3 separate regions of the Mus musculus genome follow, and all the other regions are reported to be linked to region 2. The links are microRNA targets in miRTarBase. Many come from high-throughput screens and were not tested one by one. Region 2 holds a microRNA gene; each other region holds the end of a gene's coding sequence.

Region 1 (7,197 bases), not on the chromosome of region 2:
AGGGTTCATCTCCCAGTTTCCTGGGGCAGCTCCAGAAACTGTCACTTCTCCCAACTTAACCACTTCCGTTTCCCATCGAGGAACAAGCCTGGAAGTACCTTCTTTAAGATGTTAAGATAATTACTTTAGATCTCTGTACCAGGGAAGAGCAGGAGGCTCCTGAAGCTGAGGCAAGAACAGAGAGGTATAGTGGTGCCAACTAAAAGCCAAGGCACTGTGGTAGTCCTTGCAAACTGGATATAAGAATATGCTGGGTGGTGGTGGTGCATGCCTTTAATCGCAGCACTTGGGAGGCAGAGGCTGGCAGATCTCTCTGAGTTCAAGGCCAGCCTGGTCTACAGAGCAAGTTCCAGGACAGCCAGAACTACACAGATAAACCAAAAAGAAAAGAGAATGCAGCATTTAGGGATCAACAGCTACACAGTGTGTGCTGGGAGGGATCAAGGTACAGCTGTACCTCCAGAAGAGCAATTCCCTCAGGTCTGCTCACCCTCCCAGGTTTATCAGACAGGGGCATTGGGACATGGTTAACACATACTAGTTGAAAGGACATTCCAGAGGCTTCTACTGGGCTGTTTCTACCAAGTTGGCCCATACTCCATAGGCCACTGAGGGTATTTAGAAGTTATCAAGACTGTCAATGTACTGGACAGTTCTGTTAACTTGACACAAGCTAGAGTTATCTGAAAGGAAGGAATCTTAGTTGAGAAAATACCTCCAATACGACCCTCCCTTTAAAAAATAAAAAATGGCATTTTTGGGCTGGAGAGATGGTCCAGTGGTTAAGACTGCTCTTCCAGAGGTCCTGAGTTCAATTCCCAGTAACTCACAACCATCTGTAATGAGATCTGATGCCCTCTTCTGGTGTGTCTGAAGACAGTAACGGTGTACTCACATACATAAAATAAATCCTTTAAAAAAAAAAAAAGGCATTTTCTTAGTGATTGATAGGAGAGGGCCCAGCCCACTGTGGGTGGGGCCTTCTCTGGGCTAATGGTCCTGAATTCTATATGAAAGCAGGCTGAGCCAAGCCATGAACTCAAGCCAGTAAACAGCACCTCTCTATGGTCTCTGCATCAGCTCCTGCCTCCAGGATCCTGCCCTATTTGAGTTTCTGTCCTAACGTTCTTTGGTGATGAACAGTAATGTGGCACTGTGAGTGTCTCCAAGGTCATGGTGTTTTATCACAGCATTAGTAACCCTTAGACAATCAGTTACAGGCTCAGGAAAGACACCTACGTATTTGGTCCTTTTAAACACCCAGTACCCGATCACCAAAGCCAGCAGTATCTTGGACCCTTCCCCTAAAACCACAGCCTCTGACAAAGTGTTTCCCATGATGGATGCAAAGCTCGGTCTCATGCTGACCATGTTAACTCAGCACTGGCCAAGTAAATATCCAAGATGCCTCAGTAATGGATATGCCCAGATTCGCATGTGGAAGCCCTAGCCCCTAACCTGACTGGGGGCAGAGTCTACATGTCTGTAATTAAGGGTAAGCAGGGGCTTATGGCTGGGACCTTCAGGATCAGTTTTAAAGAAATCCTGGGGACTGGGGTGTAACTCAGTTGGTAGAGCACTTGCCTTGCATGCTCAGAGTCCTGTATCTCACTACACTGGCCAGCCTGGCTTGCAACTAGCTATGTAGACTAGGCTACCTACAGCTCAGGGAACAACCTGTCTGACTTCCCAGGTGTTGGGATTTCAGGCCAGAATTCCAAGATAGTCAAGGCTACAAAATGAGATAAATACCAGAGAATTCCCTTTCTACCCAGCGCCACACATACTGTCACATGGGCACAGTGAGAAGGCAGCAGCCTACATAGCCCTTAGCAGATATCAACCTTGCTTACACCTTGATTTCAAACCTTCAGAACTGTGGGAAATAAATTCTGCTAAGCGCCAGTCTGGGGCCTTTTTGTGTATGTGTGTGGAAACTGCCCAACCAGACTAGGATGTTCTCAGAGGGATGCTAACGTTCTCAAGAATTCCCCAGGTCTAGGTCCCCACACCAGGGGACCCAGTACTTTCCTTCACATTGCTGAGGATGAATCTAGGGCCTTGCACATGCCAGGCAAGTGTTCTACCACTGAGACACATCCCAGCCCCTCAATACTACTTTATAAAGCAGCCCCTGGTACTCCCATTCATGCACACATCTTCCCTGGGAGTCTGGAAATACAGCACTGGCCGCTGACCTCCCTAAATACCCAACCAAAACCAAACTCAGGGTCCTAGGTCTATAGGGTCCCCCTTGGCATCCTTGACTTTGAGTAACTGAACATGACATATGCTCACCTTTGACATAGCACAGGGATCAACATACCTGTTTTCAAAATGATCTACTTTCAAATGTTTCTTCCCAAAAATACTTTATTAAACAATATATCCATAATCCATGATCCAAAAATACAGATATACATCTTTACATTATTTAATAAAAAGATTTACCATAGTATCTCTCCTTTACAAAGGGGACATAGGTAATAATTCCTTGAAAATAAAATGTGACATTCATGTTAAAGCTGGATCATCCTGATGGATGGAGTGTGGCGAAGAGCAACGACCACAGCACATTCTGAGGGAAAAGACACTTCTTAGACCTCCCCTGCTTTAAAGCTCCTTTGGGCATAGGCAGTGAAGACCAATCAATCTCTGTTCATAGAAAACAGAGTTTCAAAGCCTGAAACAAAGGTTCCTCGCTGTTTGATTTCAAACCCTTAAGACTTACCTAACCTCCCAGCCCTCTAACAGGGCCAACCCTGGCACCGTGATCACATGGAGAAGTTGCTCTCTGGATGAAGCATCCCCGCCAAGGCCTTCTGGGGTCAAATGAGGGATAGAAGGCAAGATGCTGTATACACAGGAGCAAGCAGGTGCCCACTTCCCCAGCCATCCACAAAACCTCACACTACAGGGCTCTTCACTGTAGAGTGGAAGACACGGCTGGCAGCCTGCCTCCTACTGATCCCACCTGCTGGATAGGCGAATGGTCAGTGCTGCTTGGACCCATTACACCACTAACATGTTCACAGATCTAGGGGCTCAATTTTTTACTAATTCATCATGCTTCTTCTATAATAAACTATTGATAATGTGCACAGAAAACAAGAAAGATGACCCCTCCTCTCAGCAAAACACTCCTGTACTTACAAGGGGAATTACACAGGGAAGACCCAGCCTTGGCTCAGGCAAAGCAGCTGCCAGTCTGTTGATGAAGCAAGGACAGCTTAAGAGCCAGGTCTCGACCAGCAGGCATGAGAGTGTCTGATCCAGCGATGGAGACACTCAGGCTTCTGGAGCAGGGCTGAGGGGTGTGCTCGTGGCTTCTCCACATCTGAGGCGGAGCTGGTGCCGGAACGCGTCTCCTGAAGTTCCCTCTTTGCTTACACACAGAAGCAGTGGGAACAAGCCTTCCATCAGAATACCAGCCACAACCCACAGATTTTCCTTTCTGTTTTCCCCCCATTTTGTTGCCAGGGATCTAACCTAGACCATCACTTTTGGAAGGCAGCTTTGTTCACCTACATACAGCCAATACCACATTACACTTCACACTTGTTAGGCATGGTTTTCCACCATGGAGGTAAATCCCCAAACTCACGAATTCTGTTTTTTTTTTTTTGCCAAGCTATATGCATCTTATTTTCATGACATTATAACTGTCAAAAAGGAGATAATCATAGGAACTCACAAAATAAATAAAAATCAGAAGCCAGTATGTAGGGTGGCCCCAGGTAGAAGACCTCAGGGAAAGAGCCAGCATGACCTCAGGAAGCCAGAAGATGGAACTCATCCAGCCTCTAACACCGCCACCAGTAAACGCCACTTCTTCCTGATCATCAAAGGACTCAGCTGCCTCAGGCTGAATCTCACATAGTAACCCAGCTTCTAAGGCATTACCAAGCAAGATCTGATTAAAAACGTCCTGTAGTTACAGAAACTGTAAAAAGCAGTCCAGACACAGTGGCGGCCATCTGTGGTCCCAGCATTGCCTAGCTCCAGCAAGATGACTGCAAGTTCAAAGCTAGTCTTTTACATAATAAAGCCCTGCCTCCCAATAAATAAATAAATAATCTAAAATTTAAGATTAAAAGGAAGCATGAGGCCTGACCCCAAGCACTGAAGAAAGAGAACAAATGGTAGAAGAATAAAGAGAAGGCTGGGGTGTGACTCAATCTGCAGAAGGCTTACCTAACACTCAAGAGTTCTGGGTTGGAGCTGGCGGTGGTGGGGCATGCTTCTCTAGTCCTAGCACTTGGAAGGCAGAGGCAGGAGAATCTCTGAGTTGGAGTTCAGCCTAGTCATATACACAGTGGGTTCCAGGACAGCCAGAGCTACACAGAGAAATCTTGTCTTGAAAAACCAAAAAAAAAAAAAAAAAAGTTCTGGGTTTGGTCCCTACCATTGCAAAACCAGACAGACCTATTGGTGCACACCTATAACCTCAGCATTTGGGAGGTGAAGAAAGACCAAAAGATGAACGTTATTCTCAGCTACATTGTGAGTTCAAAGCCTGCCTAGGATACATGAGATCTGGTCTTTGGGGGAGGGGGGTCCCTCACAATTTTTAAAGGCTAAGTTATGTCTATCTAATCTGACCCTGAGAGGGGTCCCCAAGAAGAATGCCAGCCCCATTCCCAAAGCTCTTCCTAGCCTAGAGACAATCTTGTGCACTTGCCTATCAACGACAGCTAACCTGCCTGGTACCTACAGCCCAGGAAAGGTCAACGCAGACCAACATATTCAGTAGCACAAACACAAGCCACTCCTGTCTTCCTCTTTCACTAGGATAGGCTGTGCAAGACATTGTCCAGTAAGAACATGACCATGGTGACACAGGTATGGGGCAGAGACAACACCCTTCTGCTTTGTTTGTGACCATCAGAAGAAAACAATGTGCCTGTCATTATATAAAGAGCCGGCCTCTTCTTACATCAGAAATTGCATAACCCAGCTCTGTCTTGCAGGTCTTTTTCTGAGGTGAGGCCAGGTACCGGTTGGACTCTTTTAATTCTTCTCAGAGAGCCTGAGTTACTGAAGAACATGCCAGAGGAGTTCTAAGTCAACCGTGGCTTTCAGGAGCCTGTCGCTCTTAAGGAACACCACAGATGCATCTCAACAGGCCCCGGGTAGACATCCCCCCAATATTTCAAGACAGTTCAACACTGGTTTTGTGGACAGTGGTCAAACAAAGAGTACACTCCAGTTTCCTACCTTCATTCCAGAACTGCTATTGGGCACAGAGTCACAAATCATGTCACATAATCATCGTCCCCTTGAACATAAGCTGCTGGCCTAGTGGGATGCAGCACAGCAGAGTTCTTACGATCAGCTCACAGTAGACAGACTCACTTCATAGACACACAGACCCATGACCTTCATGCTAGTACAATAATTTCATCTTCACAGTAAAAAAATATAGGCGGGAATCCCCAGAGAGCTGGAAGCTCAGCCTGGCTGTCTGGCTGTCCGCTGCTGGGCAGTGCTGGCTGTGGTAACTGACAGTCCAAGGCTAACGGAAGCTCAATCTCCAGGGAGGGCCGTAAGTTCACAGGAAAAGGTGGTGCACAAAACGACAGAGGGTACTTCCACCTGGGAAGAGCCCCCGGTCCCTTCCAGACACGTCAGAGGGATCTTGGCCAAGAGTGCCTGGTCTCCAGTAAGGGTCAGAGCACAGCATGGGGCAGTGCCTGACAATACTTTACTCACAGAGCACCAGCTGTGCTTCCATGCTGCCACAGACAGTCCTGGAAACCGTGGACACGCAAGGCTGACCCTCTAGTCACAAAGCAGTGGCAGTGTAACAGGTTAAAATGCGTTCACCCTGCACCATGCACTTTGCCTACAGCTCAAACTGACACACATCACTGATGGTGTGGCCATTCCCAGTGCTGGGAGGTTGTGGGATGGGGGAGCCTGCTCCTAAAGTCACTGTGGCAAGTCCCTGTGAGATTGTTCTGTGCAAATGGTGCAGCGGCTTCTTGTTTTAGGAAATATCCAAAATTACAACTGGCCACTGAATTATTAAATATCAGTCAAAATAAGGTAGTTTTAAAATGAAAGATCATATTGCAACATGAGTGAGGAAATATATTAGCTTGCTCTTCAGTCTGGCACAACAGCCTCTTCTTTACTTCTTCTTCCTCTTTTCCTGAACACATCGTGGACAAAACCTGTGACGAGAAAAGCGTTGGGATCATCGTTTCTCCTGGAGCACAGGACCCCAGGTAGACTTCCTGCATATCTCAGGGTGTCTGGACTCTAGGAACCAAGTGCCATAGAGCAGCTACACTGAGTAAGAGGTGCTCTTTTCTCTGAGGAAAGCTGACATTTCAACTACTGGTTCGAGCATATCTGAAGCTGACTAATAATACCTATCAGCGCAGCCTTGGGATCAAGTTGATAAGGCTGGCCATAATATGAGGTGTCCACTATAGAGCTGACACCAATAGCTGGCTGGCAGATTGGTCATACTCAAGACCACATGTACAGACACGAGCCTGTAAGCCAGTGAACAACAGCTCCTGGCACAGCTGGACTGGGCCCTATATGGGTCACACAGGTCACACAGTGCTATGGTTCAAGCACACAGAACAAACACACATCAGAGACTCAGTGTTCACCAACACTCAAGAATGTAATAGCCACTCATGACCCAAAGGGACATTCTAATAAGTTCCCCATGTGAGAGACAACTCTAACACACGTAACAGCTATCATCACATCCCTCTGTACTAAGACGCTCTGAGCACCTAGGCCAGTACTACAGTGACTGTGTCTCTCTGAGGAAGCCCATTCTGGTAAGCTACACAAAGACTGCACTGGAACCCCACTCCCCAATTCCTCTGTCTGGCTTTGGGCCCAGCACATGAGGCGGCTGTGAGGCCTCCAGACTCTCAGAGGGAGCACCCCAACAGCTTTGCCAGTGCGGTTGGACTCCCTCACCTGGAAATCCCACAAACAACTCACTGCATCTACCTTGAACTCAAAGTCAGACCCCACGCCTCACAGGGTCGCTCTTTCCCTAGCCCAGCTACACACCTGCTCACATGCCTACCACCACTGCAGCCCAGCTACACGCCTGCTCACATGCCTACCACCACCGCAGCCCAGCTACACGCCTGCTCACATGCCTACCACCACCGCAGCCCAGTCAATTCCCACAAGGCACAGTGCCATATGGGTCTTGTAACA
Region 2 (7,197 bases):
GAAGCTTCCTTAGGATAGCTTCCCAAAGCCCTAGTAAGAACCCATCTCTCACCCTTCCGTGTCCCACCTGCCTCCATGGTTTCATAAAACATATTTCACTAGCAAAGTCCCTTGGGGCTTCACTTCTTTTCCATGGCCCCACCTTTCACCGTGATGGAAACCTGGCTCTCTCCTGAGGACATGGAAAGTATTCATCTTATTTCCTACAGTTCTGGCTAGCAGGCGGTAGTACCCCACCTCTATTTTGTTTCCCAGTGTAACATTCATTTGTTGATGTATCATCAAGATCCCCAACATTGGTCCTATGACTTCCTCATTTTCTGTTACCCTTTCTTCCATCTTAGCAGCCTTTCAGAGCATCCAGGGTCATTGCCTTAGCTGAGATAGCCATGATAGCAGCAAGGATGCTCCCTGCAGCCCACCGAATCATTCAGGGATTGTGGTTCCACCAACATTACGGTTGTACTACTTTGGCCCCTCCTCTTCCTACATGTTCACATCTGATGTTGGCTCATCCAGTCCCTGGGTACACCGGCTAGCCCTACTTTAAGAGCACCCCCAGTCTCCACTCTTCCAGTTGGGAAGATTGCTCATCCTCGTGATATCTTTATCAGCTCTCTAAAACCTGCACAACAGCCCGCATGGATTCTCTTGTCACTGTTCTTGACCAATTTGTGGAGCATGAAGTTGGGATATTAATAAGAATTTAACTTTTGAAAAAAAATTTAACTTAAATAAAATCAAAAATCCCCAAAGAGGGTCATGGGAAGACCTCAGCCTTCTCCCAGCATCCGTTAGGATAACAACTCTCCTGCAGAGGAGCAAGCCAAGTGCTAGGCATCAGAAACAAAACCCAGGTAGTTCCCAGTGAACTTCCCACTATGAAGCAAGACAGCCCGACATTTGTCAGCAAGATGTGTCGGTCAAGGAATCATCTCTGGAGCAAAAGCAGGAAGAGTGACCAATTACGTGCCAGCTGATACTCGTGTTTCTACCAGGGTAACACCAGAACACCCTTACACTCGCCTGACTCCACAGACTTATTCAAATCATCAAGGAGTAGGGCTCACCCAAAGCAGGAGACACACATTATCTGCTGCATGATTCTCTCCCTCCCATGATGGTCTGGAAATGATACCAGCACCCTCCCAAATATCACAACCCTTTCATCAGTGGTTAGGTTCTTGTCAGGAAGCACAGCACCGCTATACATCATAATGCGAGTGTGTGACTGTCATTGTACATACCTGGACTAGCTACTGAAGCCAAGGTCTCCTTACGGAAGGTGCCATGCTGTCCAGAAAGCCCTCGATGGCAGCACTGACAACTGGTTGACCAGAATAAACAAAGCCAAGGGCACAGGCATTACCAATCTGCAAGCACTAAACGTGACCATCTGTGAGCCCCGCCGTCTCTGGGCCATCCACCATGCAGCAAGTCTTCCTAAGAATGGATTGAGGAGCAAATGTTAGGAGAATTGGCTACACACCTTGTTTTTCCCTCTAGCCAAGTGAACAACTGTCCCTGAATTGGCTGAGGTCAATAGCCCTTCCTCAATAAGATCAATATTCCCTTATAGGACTCAGCATCAAGAAAGCTAACCATAGATTTGGGCAGGGGTTGGGTGGGTGGGGGAGGGGTGCTGAATAGATACTTCAGGAGAAAATTGTTCTTTTGGAAGAACTCTAAGCTCAGAATAGCCTATTCCCAAAGTCTGAGGCAGGGGGATTAACGTGCATTCAATTCTGGGGACCTCACTAGGGTAGCCTGGGTGCTGAGAGTCTGGAACAAAGAAGCCTGTGACCTTACGAGCATGTCCTGTTGTTTCTGGTCCATCATTTCTTCCTGGGCTTTGGGCTTCCCTCTGACATAGATAGGCCATTTAGTATTCACTTTTAGTAGCTGATAGCACTTCTCTCTGGCAAAGAGAGGAAGCAGGGGTGAGAGCTGAAGCATCCTGACCTCAGAAATGCCCTAAAGATGGCGTGCATGTGCTATAGGGTATCAGATATCCCTAGCACCTGGATTTACCTGGGCCAAATATACTCTTACAGACCTCAGGCCAATCCTGATAGGGCTCTTGTATGAAGCTGGCATCCATCTTGAACTGATTCCATCCAGGATTGGTCCCCACCAAGGGAAGAGTCATCCAGGCGGCAGGAGCTGGGCTTCCTGTCCGCCACCGGCATCATCCCTGAAAGGGAGACGCCCAAGAACAGCATCTTCCCTTACAGCAGGGATACAGGCCAACCTCCTTCTTCCAGAATCCCAAACAGCTGGGTTCATCTTACCTTTTGTGTGTGATCTCCACCAGCACAAAAAGAAAAGGAATCAAGTCTCTTCCAGAGCCGAACAGCAGGACGGGAAGCCCCATCGGGGTAGTGTCTGCACCTCAGTGGTGTCCACAGGAGGAAGGGGATGCCAGGGACAGGACCTCAGTGAGAACAAAGGAACAGGGTCAAGTTAGCTTGTCTTTCACAAGCCTGAATTCCGGGGGGTGTTTTTGAATGGATGTAACCCTGAAAACCAGTCTGTCCCCAGGGGAGTTGTGACTACTTCTCAACCATCTCATGGCTTCTCCCCACTGCCTAGCCATCCAGAAAGGGTTTGGCCCACATGCTCTGGCTGGGGAAGGCTATAGCCCTGGCATCAGCTCTCCTTTCAAGCGCACCCTGGCACTGAAAACTGGTAGAAGAAACGAAGGGTGTCCGTGAAAGCACAGCAAGCTCATCGCAAGCAGGACCAAGCTTCCTCGGGGTTGGTCTTCTCCATCAGGAATATCCAAGGAGCATCTCGAAGGAGCTGCAGGGCTCATCCAAGGCTCACACAAGGCAGGCAGTCTCATATCGCTTGTGCAGGGGGCCCTTCAAAAAAGCAGAGTTTGATAGTCAAAAGGAAGCTAACTGTGTCTCGTTCACAATAAGCAAACAGAACATGAATGACCTCAAATATTCTCAGAGATCTCTGACAGGAAAACCGGGGCCTCTTGTCTACTGTCCTCTCTCCTTCCAGAAGATTCTTCCAATGACAAATTGAATTCCTAGACTCTGAGAGGTGAATTCCCATAGTCTGTAAGAAAGCACATGAGCTGACAGCAACCACTCACTGCTACACATTGGTCCTAGGGCTAAAATCTGGTCTGACGGAAAAACTCATTCCCACAAGAGCTTCCTAAGGCAGGTCAATTTAGAAACAAAATGGAAGTCTATCTGGTCCTCCCTGAGAGGTAAGCTGGATGGCAAGAAGCCAGCAGCTGGCCGAATATCATGGAAGGGCAATGGCACCATGGGCATTACCTCTCTCGATAACGTCGAGGGTTGCTGGTAGATACGACAGATAGGACTCCTCCTTCCCCAGAAGCTGTGGTTCCAGAACTGTGCTCCTTACAATTGACTGGAAATGGAGAGTTACAGAGTCAGATGGTCTCAGTCACCAATAACCTGGTGCTGACAAGTCCTGCTGTTGGCTGACATAGGCAGCCCCTCCTTGAAGTAGCTCTTATATCTGGGAAGCCCATAGAGGCATGCTTTGATTTGAAAGAATAATCAATAATCAATAATGGTGTTTGTACAGCAGGTGGCCTTTCACAACTGACCACAGTTTGATCATCAAAAGGTAGCATATTGGCTCAATGCTCACTCATGATGGATAATGCGGGGTGGATGGAGGAGATGGAGCACACACACTACAAGGAACATGCAACATCACCTCCAGCCCCCAGTGGCTACATGTGTTGTCCACGGACCGGCAGCATTAGCATCACTTGAGAGCTTGCTAAAAATGCAGAATCTTGGCCCCTCAATCAGACTCTGCTTTTTAACAAGATCCCTAGGTGACGAATATCTTAGCAGCGTTGAGCAGTTTGAGAGGCCCTACACTAACCAACAATTTGTACAAGCATGCATGCAGGCACACACACACACACACACACACACACACACACACACACACACACACCAGATTATGGAATGAGCTGAAATGGTATGCTATTGACCAGGTATGTCTAAGAAAAAGTCAGCCCAAAGGAAGCCATAGGAACAGATAGAGAGTGACTTAAGGCAGCGGCGGCGGCAGGAAGTATCCTTATTAACACCTGTATTAACCACAGGAAGTCTATGCTCAGAATGGATGCTGAGGAGAGTGGGTGCTGGACCTAGAAGACCCTGGCCAAGTTCTGTCTACCTAAAGAGATGCTTGACCCAGTACCTTCTCAAGGAGTTCCTCTGAACTAAGACTTAACAGCAACAACAGACAGGTGAGTTATTCTCAGTGTTCTCCAGACCAAGCACAAAGAAGCAAGCCACCAAAGCTGTTGCCACCTCAAAGCTGTCACTGTGAGAGTACATGGGGGGGGGGGTGCCTTCTGAGGTTACTCTGCCTCAATAAATTCTCCCTCTCCTGCAGCAGGTACCAATGTCCATTAGCTGAAGTCACCACTGTGCTCTAGGACCTTCGGAAGCAAATCCAGATATGGGGCAAACAATGGTCGTCCCAATTAATCTCCATAAATATGGCGAGCACACTATTGATAGCCACCCTGCAAATGTCAGAGAACCACCGCACCGAGAAAAACCGCAGGACCTCCTCTCACGATCCAGACCAGACAGCTCGCCGGCCTCTGTCATTCAAGCACATGCTTGTGGAACCAGTCACACTCTTGAGCAAGGGGCCGGGGCCTGACCCCAGTGACTATCTGTGAGATTGGCTGCCCATCCAAAAAAAAAAAGAACGATTTGCCAAGTCATGAAAACTGTGCTATCTCACCATGACCAAGCCACGTAGGAACCCCTGGACTCTTCAAGCAAGATCCTGACTTGGGATCAGAGTGTAGCTCTTACACATCAGTTCTGTGCTCTCTTGCCTTGTGCCCAGGTAAGGCTAACCCATGCATCATGCACCAGGCACCTCTTTAAACAACCGTCTCGTCATCCCGGAAGTCCACCAGGGCAGTATTTGATACTCAAAAAGAAATTATCCTTGTATGATTCATCCAAAAGAGCCAACACACCAAGGATAATTTCTCCTCAAGTATGAAACAGTAGCACAGCAGGAATACCAGCATCCATAGGCCTCTTGGGAGTGATCACCACTCCTCACACGTGGCTGCACCCAATACATACATGCACCATGCATGCAGTACTACTGATGGCCATTCTAAGCACCAGGGAGGTGAGAGGCTATAGAAATGACTCCCCAGGACTCAGCATGACAACCTCACGTTAGCCTCTTCTAAGGGTAATGGTGGCTGGGGTCAAGAAGCCAGGCAGTGTCCATCTTAAGTGGAGCAAGCATTGTGGGTGGCCCTGCTGACCCCCGGCATGGGGTCTTCTGTTCTAGAAGCTGCTACAGAAATGATGTCACTGCCGAGTCACAAGCACCACCTTGTAAGTCCAGCACAAACTCTAAGCTCCAACACCCACTCACATGACTGACAGAGAATGTCTGTCTCAACATGGGCTCCCAAATCCAAGGAGAGGTTTGTATATCACCATCATAGCTGCCAGCAGTCAGCTCCCAGCAGACAAAAGTTTGGGCTGGCACATGGTCAATAATGAGCCTAGTCCCTACAAGAGCCTGATCTCTCCCAGCCCCCGAGAGCCATATGCATTGGACCCCAAGAGGACTCGCGAGTGACACACGAGACAAGGAGCATAACACGGCGACACCCTTGTCCAAGGATGTGTGATGGGAAGTGGCAGTGGCAGGATCCAGGCGCAGGAAGCCAGGCTGCAGAGTCTGCGCACTTGATACTGAAAAAGTGGATGACCCTGTACGATTCGGCATGAGTGAAGCGAAGAGGACAGGGATAACCACTCTCCAAGTACCAAAGCTCGGCCTGGAAAGCAAAGCCACCGCCTCAGGTAGACGTGCTACGTCTTCCAGGTAGGGTCCTGGGGACGAATTAGACGCTGAGCGTTAGCAGACTGGGTCACACACACCAAGCAAGAACATGCACACTTGGGTACCACGGCACGGCAGCACATCAAAAAACAACGGCCCACACCAGCACAGACCTGACCATCAGCCTGGGAAAGCAGGGACCCAGGCTACACACAGAGAGCATGCTTTGGGACCAACCCATATGGACAAGGAGAGGGGATGTACCCGAGGTCTTTCCTGAAGTCATCTTGCGCCCATGAAGCCGTTGGTGCATAAAGGAAACCCAGGAAGCAGTTTGTCACACACAAGATGGATACACACGGTCATGCACACACATACCACATCCCTCGCTGAGTGTGGACGGGATCCAAGATAAGGTTTGATACTCACAGAGAGCTTGCCCTTGTATATTCCATGTCAATAAACCGAATATACAAAGGGCAACCTCGCTTTAAGTACCAAACAATAGCATGGGGCAGGTTCCGCTCTAGCATTCACGGGGTCAGCCTCGTCTCCTGGGACTTAGCCTGGGGAGGGATGATGGGAGATTCGGAATCAGCCAATTACATGGCAAACACCACCTGCCAGATGTGTGCCCACTGGTCAGCTCTCCATCCAAGGAGCTTGGGCTGGGACAGATACTTGGGGGGTGGGGGGGACCTTTTTCTGATATTACTGGCAGATGTTACAACAGATTGAGATTTTCACTCTCTCAGGAAATACAGAACTCAGATTTTTGCTTTCTGTAGGTAAACCCTGGTTAGGACTACAATCTTATCCTTAGCACTTTCTCTATGATGCCCACCTGGCTGTACACTGCACACAGAGGACAGGAGGACCCCAGGAATTTATAGAAGTGATTAAAGCCAATCCTTTCTGCCTTCCCAGTAACGGGTATCAGTGTCACTCCCAGGACCGGACCCTGCCCCACTAATTCTGCCCGATAGTGGAATGGGACAGAACTAGAAGGAAGTTGATGCCATACAGGGGTCAAACTCCACATGCCACTGAATGATGGAACCATCTTTCCTTTTTGGGACCTCTTCCCCAGAAAAGAGCAGGCAGGAATGGCCACAGGTTTGCACTGAATCATGGCAAGGAAAAACACTCACCTTTTTTTGACGGGATGGGTTGCTTCCATAGGTGCGGGCTGTTAAAACTGCCCCCTTCTGATCTAGGTATAGCCACAGAAGAACACCAGATAGACCGCACGGAATGGGAAACTTCAGCCTCTTCCCAAAGACAGACACCACTTCCAGGAAGTCCTCACTTGGAGAGGGGTGGACCAGGCCTGAAATCATTATAAATAAAGATGTA
Region 3 (7,197 bases), not on the chromosome of region 2:
GAGTACAAATCACAGAACTATAAGGCAGAGATTGAACTTCAAATAATGGCCCTAAATAAAGTCAATATATTGATATTATCTGCTGTTATATAACTAACCCCCAAATTTAAACATCTGGAAAAGCCATTTTATTTTGTCACTTAGTGAGTTTGAAATTTCACAAAGGACCATTCAATTTGTCTCTCAAGACAGACCAGGATACCTCCTGTGCTGGTGATAGGTGACCATCCCAAAATGGCTCCTTACCTCATGTTTGGTACCCCTGGCTGTCTAGCTTCTGTCATCTTCTCCTACACACGTCTTATCCAGGCAAGGTCTCAGACTTCATCCAGGATGTTATTCTTAAGTGTTTCAAGTGAGAATAGCTACTCAGGCTCTTATACACTAAGGGTAGCAGGGTAGGCAGACTTTATAGCTTTACAAATACTAATAGTCATAGATTGATAATTTTTCATTGTATAAGCATATGGTACAAAGTGATGTAATAGTTTATGAATATGATGTGGGCTGATTAAATTAAGCTGGTTGACATATATATCCAAAGGCTAAACTCTTTTTTTTTAAATTTCATTTACATTTCCAATGCTATCCCAAAAGTCCCCCACACCCTCCCACCCACTCCCACTTCTTGGCCCTGGCGTTCCCCTGTACTGAGGCAGATAAAGTTTGCACAACCAATGGGCCTCTTTCCACTGATGGCCGACTAGGCCATCTTCTGCCACATATGCAGCTAGAGACACGAGCTCTGGGGGCTACTGGGTAGTTCATATTGTCGTCCCACTTATAGGGTTGCAGATCCCTTTAGCTAAACTCTTATGTGAAAAGTTATCTACCTATATTTAATTTAGGGGTATAAAGTGCTAAGGGTAGTACCCAGAGCCATGAGGATGTTAAGCAATCTCTCTACTACTGAGCCATCCTTAGACCAAGACCTTACTCTTTTTTGAGCCCAGAGCCTACTCAGTGCAGTCGTCACCCTCCTCCTCATCCTCGCCATCCAGAGACAGAGCAGCGTGCTTGCTTGCAGAGCTGAACTCGGAGGCCGGAATCTCCTCAGGTTTCTTTGGCTCAGGTGCAGATCTGGAGTCTTGATCTTTTTTGCCATCCTTCCTATCCAAGTCCTTCCAGTGGTCTCTGCTCCCTCCATCCCCAGGACCACGGCTGCAGCTTCCAGTTTGGCCTTGTGTGGCACCCACAAACAAGGGCTTTGGTACTGACAAGTATCTCTAACTCCTTTATAAAATTTTGAGAAAAGGTCTGAGTTGCCCAGCTTAGCCATGAATTTTTGGTCCTTCTACCTCACCTTTCAGAAGAATTAGGGAGAGCAGGCATGGGCTGTGACCTGAAACCTTAGGCTTTAATAGGAGGAATGGCAAAGATTTTTGCTGCCGTCTTTACCAAATCAAGGATGGAAAGTTCTAGAATGCAGTTTTGACAAGACCCAAAGCATTTCTACACACACAAATGTTCCCATGCTTAGTGATCAGCAGTTTGGACAGGCACCAATTTTCTTAGAAAATAGGATGTAATTACACATAGTGTGCAGCATTTTGGCGTTTAATGGTGATGATTATCAAAATTCTTCCCAGTTTTACTGCTTCTTTGATTTGTATGTGTATTTTATGACCATCATTTTGAGTTGGAGGGAGCATGTACTATCTTTTTATGGCATGCAACTATGATCTTAGGAGTGCTAAGAATAGTTTATTAATGCCCGGGGCATCATTGAAGGCTACCTAATACCTTTGATTTACTAAAGTCACAAAAGTTATGTTAGCTTGTTTTATGGATATGACTTTAGCCATATGGTAAAGCACAGCTTGGTACAGGTGTTCTTCATATCTGGCCCACTGACATCTAAGAAATTCAACTCTTGGGTCACAGAGAAAAGGAACAAAAACCCTAATAAAACCCACATGCTAACCATTAACATTCATTTACCAAAGCTTGCTTAAGCTCTTGTACTCTTAAAGCTAATTTCATCCAATTGCCTTTTAATTATAGTTCTTGCTTGGAGTTGCAAATATAATGGGTTTTTAATGTAACTTGCACTGTTCTGTGTCCAATGCAGGATGTAATCATGCAGTTTATTCAGTCAGAGCCATTGCATGGGGTAATTACTACACGAGTGCACACGGATGTCTGCACATACATACACCCGGTAGGAGAATCATATAGGAGCCGGACAAGCTGGGCATGGTGGTTCACAGTGAGATCCAGGGCAGCCAGGATCCAATGTCAAAAGTCTCTGCTGAGTGGAACAGTGTAGATGTTTCACATGCTATGTGAAGTCATTCTTTTAAAAAATGGTTATGTATATACATCATGTGTACCACCACACTTGCACAGGTGCTTGCTCACTGGGGTCAAGGAGTGTTGGGTCACCTGGAAATGAGTTATAGGCAGTTAGCTGGAAGCTACCTGGTGTGGGTGTTGGACAAAGACCCGAGTCCTCTGCAGAGCGGTACCCAGTTTATCTGTTAAGTGTTAGAGAAAGGATCTACATTAACACTGATTTTTAGCTTGTTCAGTTACATTTCTCTACCCTGGCACTAATCTAAGAAAAAACTGATATTTTTCTTATGGTTACATGAAAATACTTTGGAAGAAATTTAAGCAAGGAAAGAACCATACACAGAAAATTATAACTATTACTGGAACTGAAAAGTATGTGAAATGAAAAGACATCCCTTGCTCGTAGGTTAAAAACAGCAACAACTGCGTCACAGAGGCACTTTGGAGGTAGCACGTGGTGGCTCTGAGTTTAAGGCCAGTCTGCTTTATAGAGTGAGTTCCAAGAGAGCCAGGGTTATACATTGAAACCCTGTCTCAAAAAAAACAAAACCCAACCAAGCCAAACCAAAAACTACCACCACGACCACAACACACAAAAACAAAGCAAAATTAGTGGAATTTCATGAAACTTAAGAACTTGTACACAGCTAAAAAAAACTATCAACAAAATTAAAATGTACTCGGCAAACTTGCAGAAAATACTTGCATGCTTCTGATAGGTATTAAAATATACAAGGACAAGAATTCCCAGCTCATTAGCAAATAAATAATCCTCCATAAAAATGGATAAGAGAAACACAAGGAAGTCGTCTTACTTCTGTAATCACAACAGTGTGTGGAGAACTGTTGTGGAAGACAGCTTAGGGGGGTCCTCAAAACAAAACAAAATGAAACAAACAAAGTCTAAGCAGGGTTTCTATGTAACCTAGCCATCCCACTCTTACATCCTGACACCCTTGCCTTTAAGGCTGTTCAGAATACCCAAGGTGTAGAAGCAACACATACTGGCATTAGTGCTTGAAGTTCATACAGCCTTTTGTAATGTGGAAAATCTTGGACTCCACTATAGTAGAAACAAAACAAACAAACAAACAAAAAAAACCCACTGACTATCAACAGCAAAATATATGTTTAAACAAAGAATAAAACCAAATACTTATTTTTGTGGTGGTGAGGTGGTTTGAGACAGGGTTTCTCTGTATAACCCTGACTGTCCTGGTAGACCAGGCTGGCCTTTCAGGGATCCACATGCCCCTGCTTCTGCAGTGCTGGGTGTAAACGCATGCTACCATACCAGGCTGAAATAGTATACTTTTTTAATCAAAAGTAGGGAGGCAGAGGAACAGGACTTGACAAAATAAGCTCTCAGTTGTGTAGGAAAATCTCGGCTGTGCAAGTGTGCATGTCTGCTAGCTGTGGAGCTGACTAAACGGTAGCATCTGGATTCATGTCAAATTCTACATGGATCAACTCCTTTCATTTTGCTTGGATGTTTCTTATGTAAAACACAAATGTGGAAAGTATGTGTACATTCATTTGTAAAACATTAACAAAAGGGCTGGGGGCTTGACCCTGTGGTTCCCAGCATTGCCTGCTCTTCTAGAAGACCTGGGTTCAATTGCCAGCACCCACATAATCTTTTCTATGTCCAGTTCCCAGGGAACCAATGTTCCATTCTGCCATCTAGAGGCATTGGACTCACATGGTGCTCAGACATACATGAAGGCAAAATGTCATATACTTAAAAAAAAAAAATGAAGACATAGCTCAGTGGCTACTCCTCCAGAGGACCCTGGTACCCACATGGCAGCTCTAAACACCAGTTCCAGGGGATCCAATACCCTCACATGCAGACAAAACCAATGCACATAAAATAAAAACTAAAACACTAGAAAGTATTCCAAGTGTGACCCCTCAATACCTAGCCTCTTTTCCATGTCCTCTACCTTTGCTATTCCACCTACATCTTCGGGGAGAAGAGACAGAAGGGCCACGCTAGACACATAAAATCCCATTTTCTAGGCCTCAAAATCCAGATAGGAACATCTTGTAACTTCTAGAGACTTTTTCTCGTGAAAGGAGCTCAGAGCAGACCCACCTTTACAAGGAGAGCCAACCTTACCCTTCTGAGTGCTCTGAGGCTCCAGTCTGAAGAGCCTGCTCCCTAATCTCTGCATCTTCTGGTTGGTCTTTAATCTTTACTCTGAAACTAGAATCCATAAAGGATGGAGTCAGACACAAGGCTGGCAGAAGCAAACACCAGCTAGGCACATGATCCATCACCTTGATTAAACTTGCCTTAAGTTCTGTATGCAGGTGTTAGATTTAGAAGAAAATTGAAATTTATGAATGGCTTTTGTGCACTACTTTACTGATATTAATCTAGAGTTTCAGGATCCACATTCCTATAAAAATGATAGAATTGTCCTACCAAATATATACTAGTTAACATTCTGTAATAGTCCATATTAGCAAAAACTTCACATTGAAGTCAAACTATAGGCTCTGATTTTTCAAAGACAGGTTGCTTTTAAACTTTGGCATTTATAAAGAAATCAAGATTAATTGATAGTCGTCATTCATCCCTTTTTCTTTTCCTAAAATATGTGCTTTAACTTCCAGGGATATGGTGAATCTTCAAAAAAGTAGCATCTAACTAAAGCTGAACTGTGGCATTTTTACCAGAACCAAGTCACTTACATTGACTGGCAGGTGGGGGTGCAGGTTCAATGGATGCTCATTTTCTCATTTCACTTCACAACTATACAAATACAAATAAGTTAATCCTATAATAGAGTTCCTCACTACCTTTTCCTTTGTCCGCATTTAACTGCTTCGAATTCCTTTCCTAGCATGCACTCAAGTTTATCCTATCTATTATAAACAACAAAGCTCCTTAATTATGGGTCCCCTCTCGACATGACCCTTTTCCCCATTTCCCTTTGTAGGGTCCTTTAAAGCATTTGCATATTTCATTGAGGAGACCTAGCATGATTTAGGGTAAATGTTTTTACTGAGTGGACATTTATGTTATGAATTTACCACAATCAAATAGAACTTCCTTAATATCCTTGAGGAAATACTTTCAAACATGACTCTAAGCACTTCTAAAGAACTCTAGAAATAAAAATGACTGGGCCAAGAGGACTGCACAGAATTTATGGGTTTGTATCCTCCTCAATATTCAGACATTAAAAAACCTTGAACTCCCAGGACTTCGGAACCAGATCATGTGATCTTATCTGAAGAGAGGTCTTTTCATAGATGTGTAAGAGGAGGTCTTCAGGGCGGAGCGTTACTCAGCACAAAGAAACAGGAGGGGCCAATGATGCTCCATGACACAGCACAGTGGGAAACAAAATCTTGGCCCGTTCTGGGAAGTACTATTTGATTGTAGTAAACTCATAACATGAATGTCCACCACTCAGGAGAGCAATCCTTTGCTTTTAGACTGGTGGCTTCCTAGCCTCCATAACTACAAGAGCATACATTTCTGGTGTTTGAGGTAGATTTTTTGTCATTGTGGACTGGTGGACTTCAAAAGTTTGAGAGAACGCCTGGAAATGATAGCAAAATAGCTTCGACAACCTCTCCCTAATGGACTGGTGTATCAATATTGAATGCTAGTCACTCTCCTTTGGGAAAGTCTCATTGTTAGTTCTGGCTGAGCTGACATGACATTTGCTGTTGTGTATGAACGAGGTTGGTCTCAGACTCACTGAGATCTGTCTGCCTATACTTTCTGGATGCTGGGATCAAAGATGTATACCACCACACCCCACCCTTTCTGAAGTGCTCTGTGTCTGTCTCTCTTTTTTTGAGACAGGGTACCTCTATAGAGCTTTAGCTGAGCCCAGAGGCAGGGCTGACCAGGCTGGCTTCAATTTCAAAGATCTGCCTGCCTCGGCCTCCTGAGTGCTATGAACCACTCACTATGACTGGCTATTGTCTTCTTAATGCACTTTTTTTTCCCCAGAAATTGAACTCATTTCTAGTGTTTTATTTCCTTTTATTTTGAAACATCTAAAATCTTCAGATGGATCAACTTTTTTGTAACTATTCACATTTAACTATGATTAATATAGTTTGGTACAATGAGAAAAACAAAAATCAAAACATAAAATTTAGAAATATGTATTCATTTGTTGACTACTGCCAAAGTTGGCCATTCTTTAGGATTATCAAATTTACCATGAAGCATATTTCTAAAGGTAAAAGCTAGGCAATTAGGAACTGCATAGTTAAAAATAACTGATTTTCCGACGTATGCAAAAGTCCCCATCCCCTTCAATAGCACATATAGTAAGGGTTATGCTTTTGAAACTGCTTTCACCATTGACTTTCCTGTTGGAACTATACCATGGAATACCAAAAGAGGCCTTAAAACTGTATAATGAAGAGTTGCAAAATTATTTTAGCCATAGAATCTATCCCTACAAATAACAATCTGTACATAATGCGTGTATCCCCAGTGCCTCTGTCATTAAGACTACCCAGCCTGAGGACAATCTGTCTCCACCTTCAGCATTTCTTCCCGGCCTTTGCGTGGGTTAGGATGTGAATCTTCTGGTTATTTGACTGAATAAAGCTCTTCTCGCAGCCATCAAAAGGACACACAAAGCGCCTCTCCCCGGTGTGGATGCGGATATGGGTGCGCAAGTTGAAATCCAGGGAGAAGCGCTTCCCACAGCCTTCGAACGTGCACTGATACGGCTTCTCTCCGGTGTGCACCAGAAAATGTCGCTTTAGTTTCGAGCTCTCCGTGAAGGCTTTGCCACACTCTGCACACACGTGCCGCCGGGGCCCGTGGACAAGCATGTGCTTCCTCAGGGCGGTTTTATCCCTCAGCTTCTTCTTGCACCCGGCTTGAGGACACTCCAGCATCGATAAGACACCACAGTA

The links. Region 2 holds the annotated microRNA mmu-miR-539-5p (GGAGAAAUUAUCCUUGGUGUGU, at 5,003-5,024, opposite strand). A microRNA usually pairs through its seed, bases 2 to 8, with sites in the 3' UTR of a target mRNA and lowers its output. Matches are read on the target gene's strand: a 7mer-m8 pairs with bases 2 to 8, a 7mer-A1 pairs with bases 2 to 7 and ends in A, and an 8mer does both.
Region 1: miRTarBase lists Ing5 as a target of mmu-miR-539-5p. Seed matches in the 3' UTR shown: 7mer-m8 at 4,345-4,351.
Region 3: the mRNA of Zfp42 is a reported target of mmu-miR-539-5p. Seed matches in the 3' UTR shown: 7mer-A1 at 6,391-6,397.

What each region holds. Positions count from the first base shown.
Region 1 is chr1:93,817,260-93,824,456 of GRCm38, reverse strand. It overlaps Ing5 (inhibitor of growth family, member 5), which reads right to left. Exons shown (of 8, transcript NM_025454.2): 8 at 2,356-6,176. The coding sequence ends at 6,134. It also overlaps a transcript of D2hgdh not described here. Among named protein-coding and RNA genes, the nearest start is that of D2hgdh, 4.4 kb to the left of the region's middle.
Region 2 is chr12:109,725,963-109,733,159 of GRCm38, reverse strand. Mir539 (microRNA 539) reads right to left here and starts at 5,031; the gene lies at 4,958-5,031. Mir381 (microRNA 381) reads right to left here and starts at 6,338; the gene lies at 6,264-6,338. Mir487b (microRNA 487b) reads right to left here and starts at 5,827; the gene lies at 5,746-5,827. Mir544 (microRNA 544) reads right to left here and starts at 3,835; the gene lies at 3,758-3,835.
Region 3 is chr8:43,288,780-43,295,976 of GRCm38, forward strand. Zfp42 (zinc finger protein 42) reads right to left here. Exons shown (of 4, transcript NM_009556.3): 4 at 6,288-7,197. The coding sequence ends at 6,817. Among named protein-coding and RNA genes, the nearest start is that of Zfp42, 15 kb to the right of the region's middle.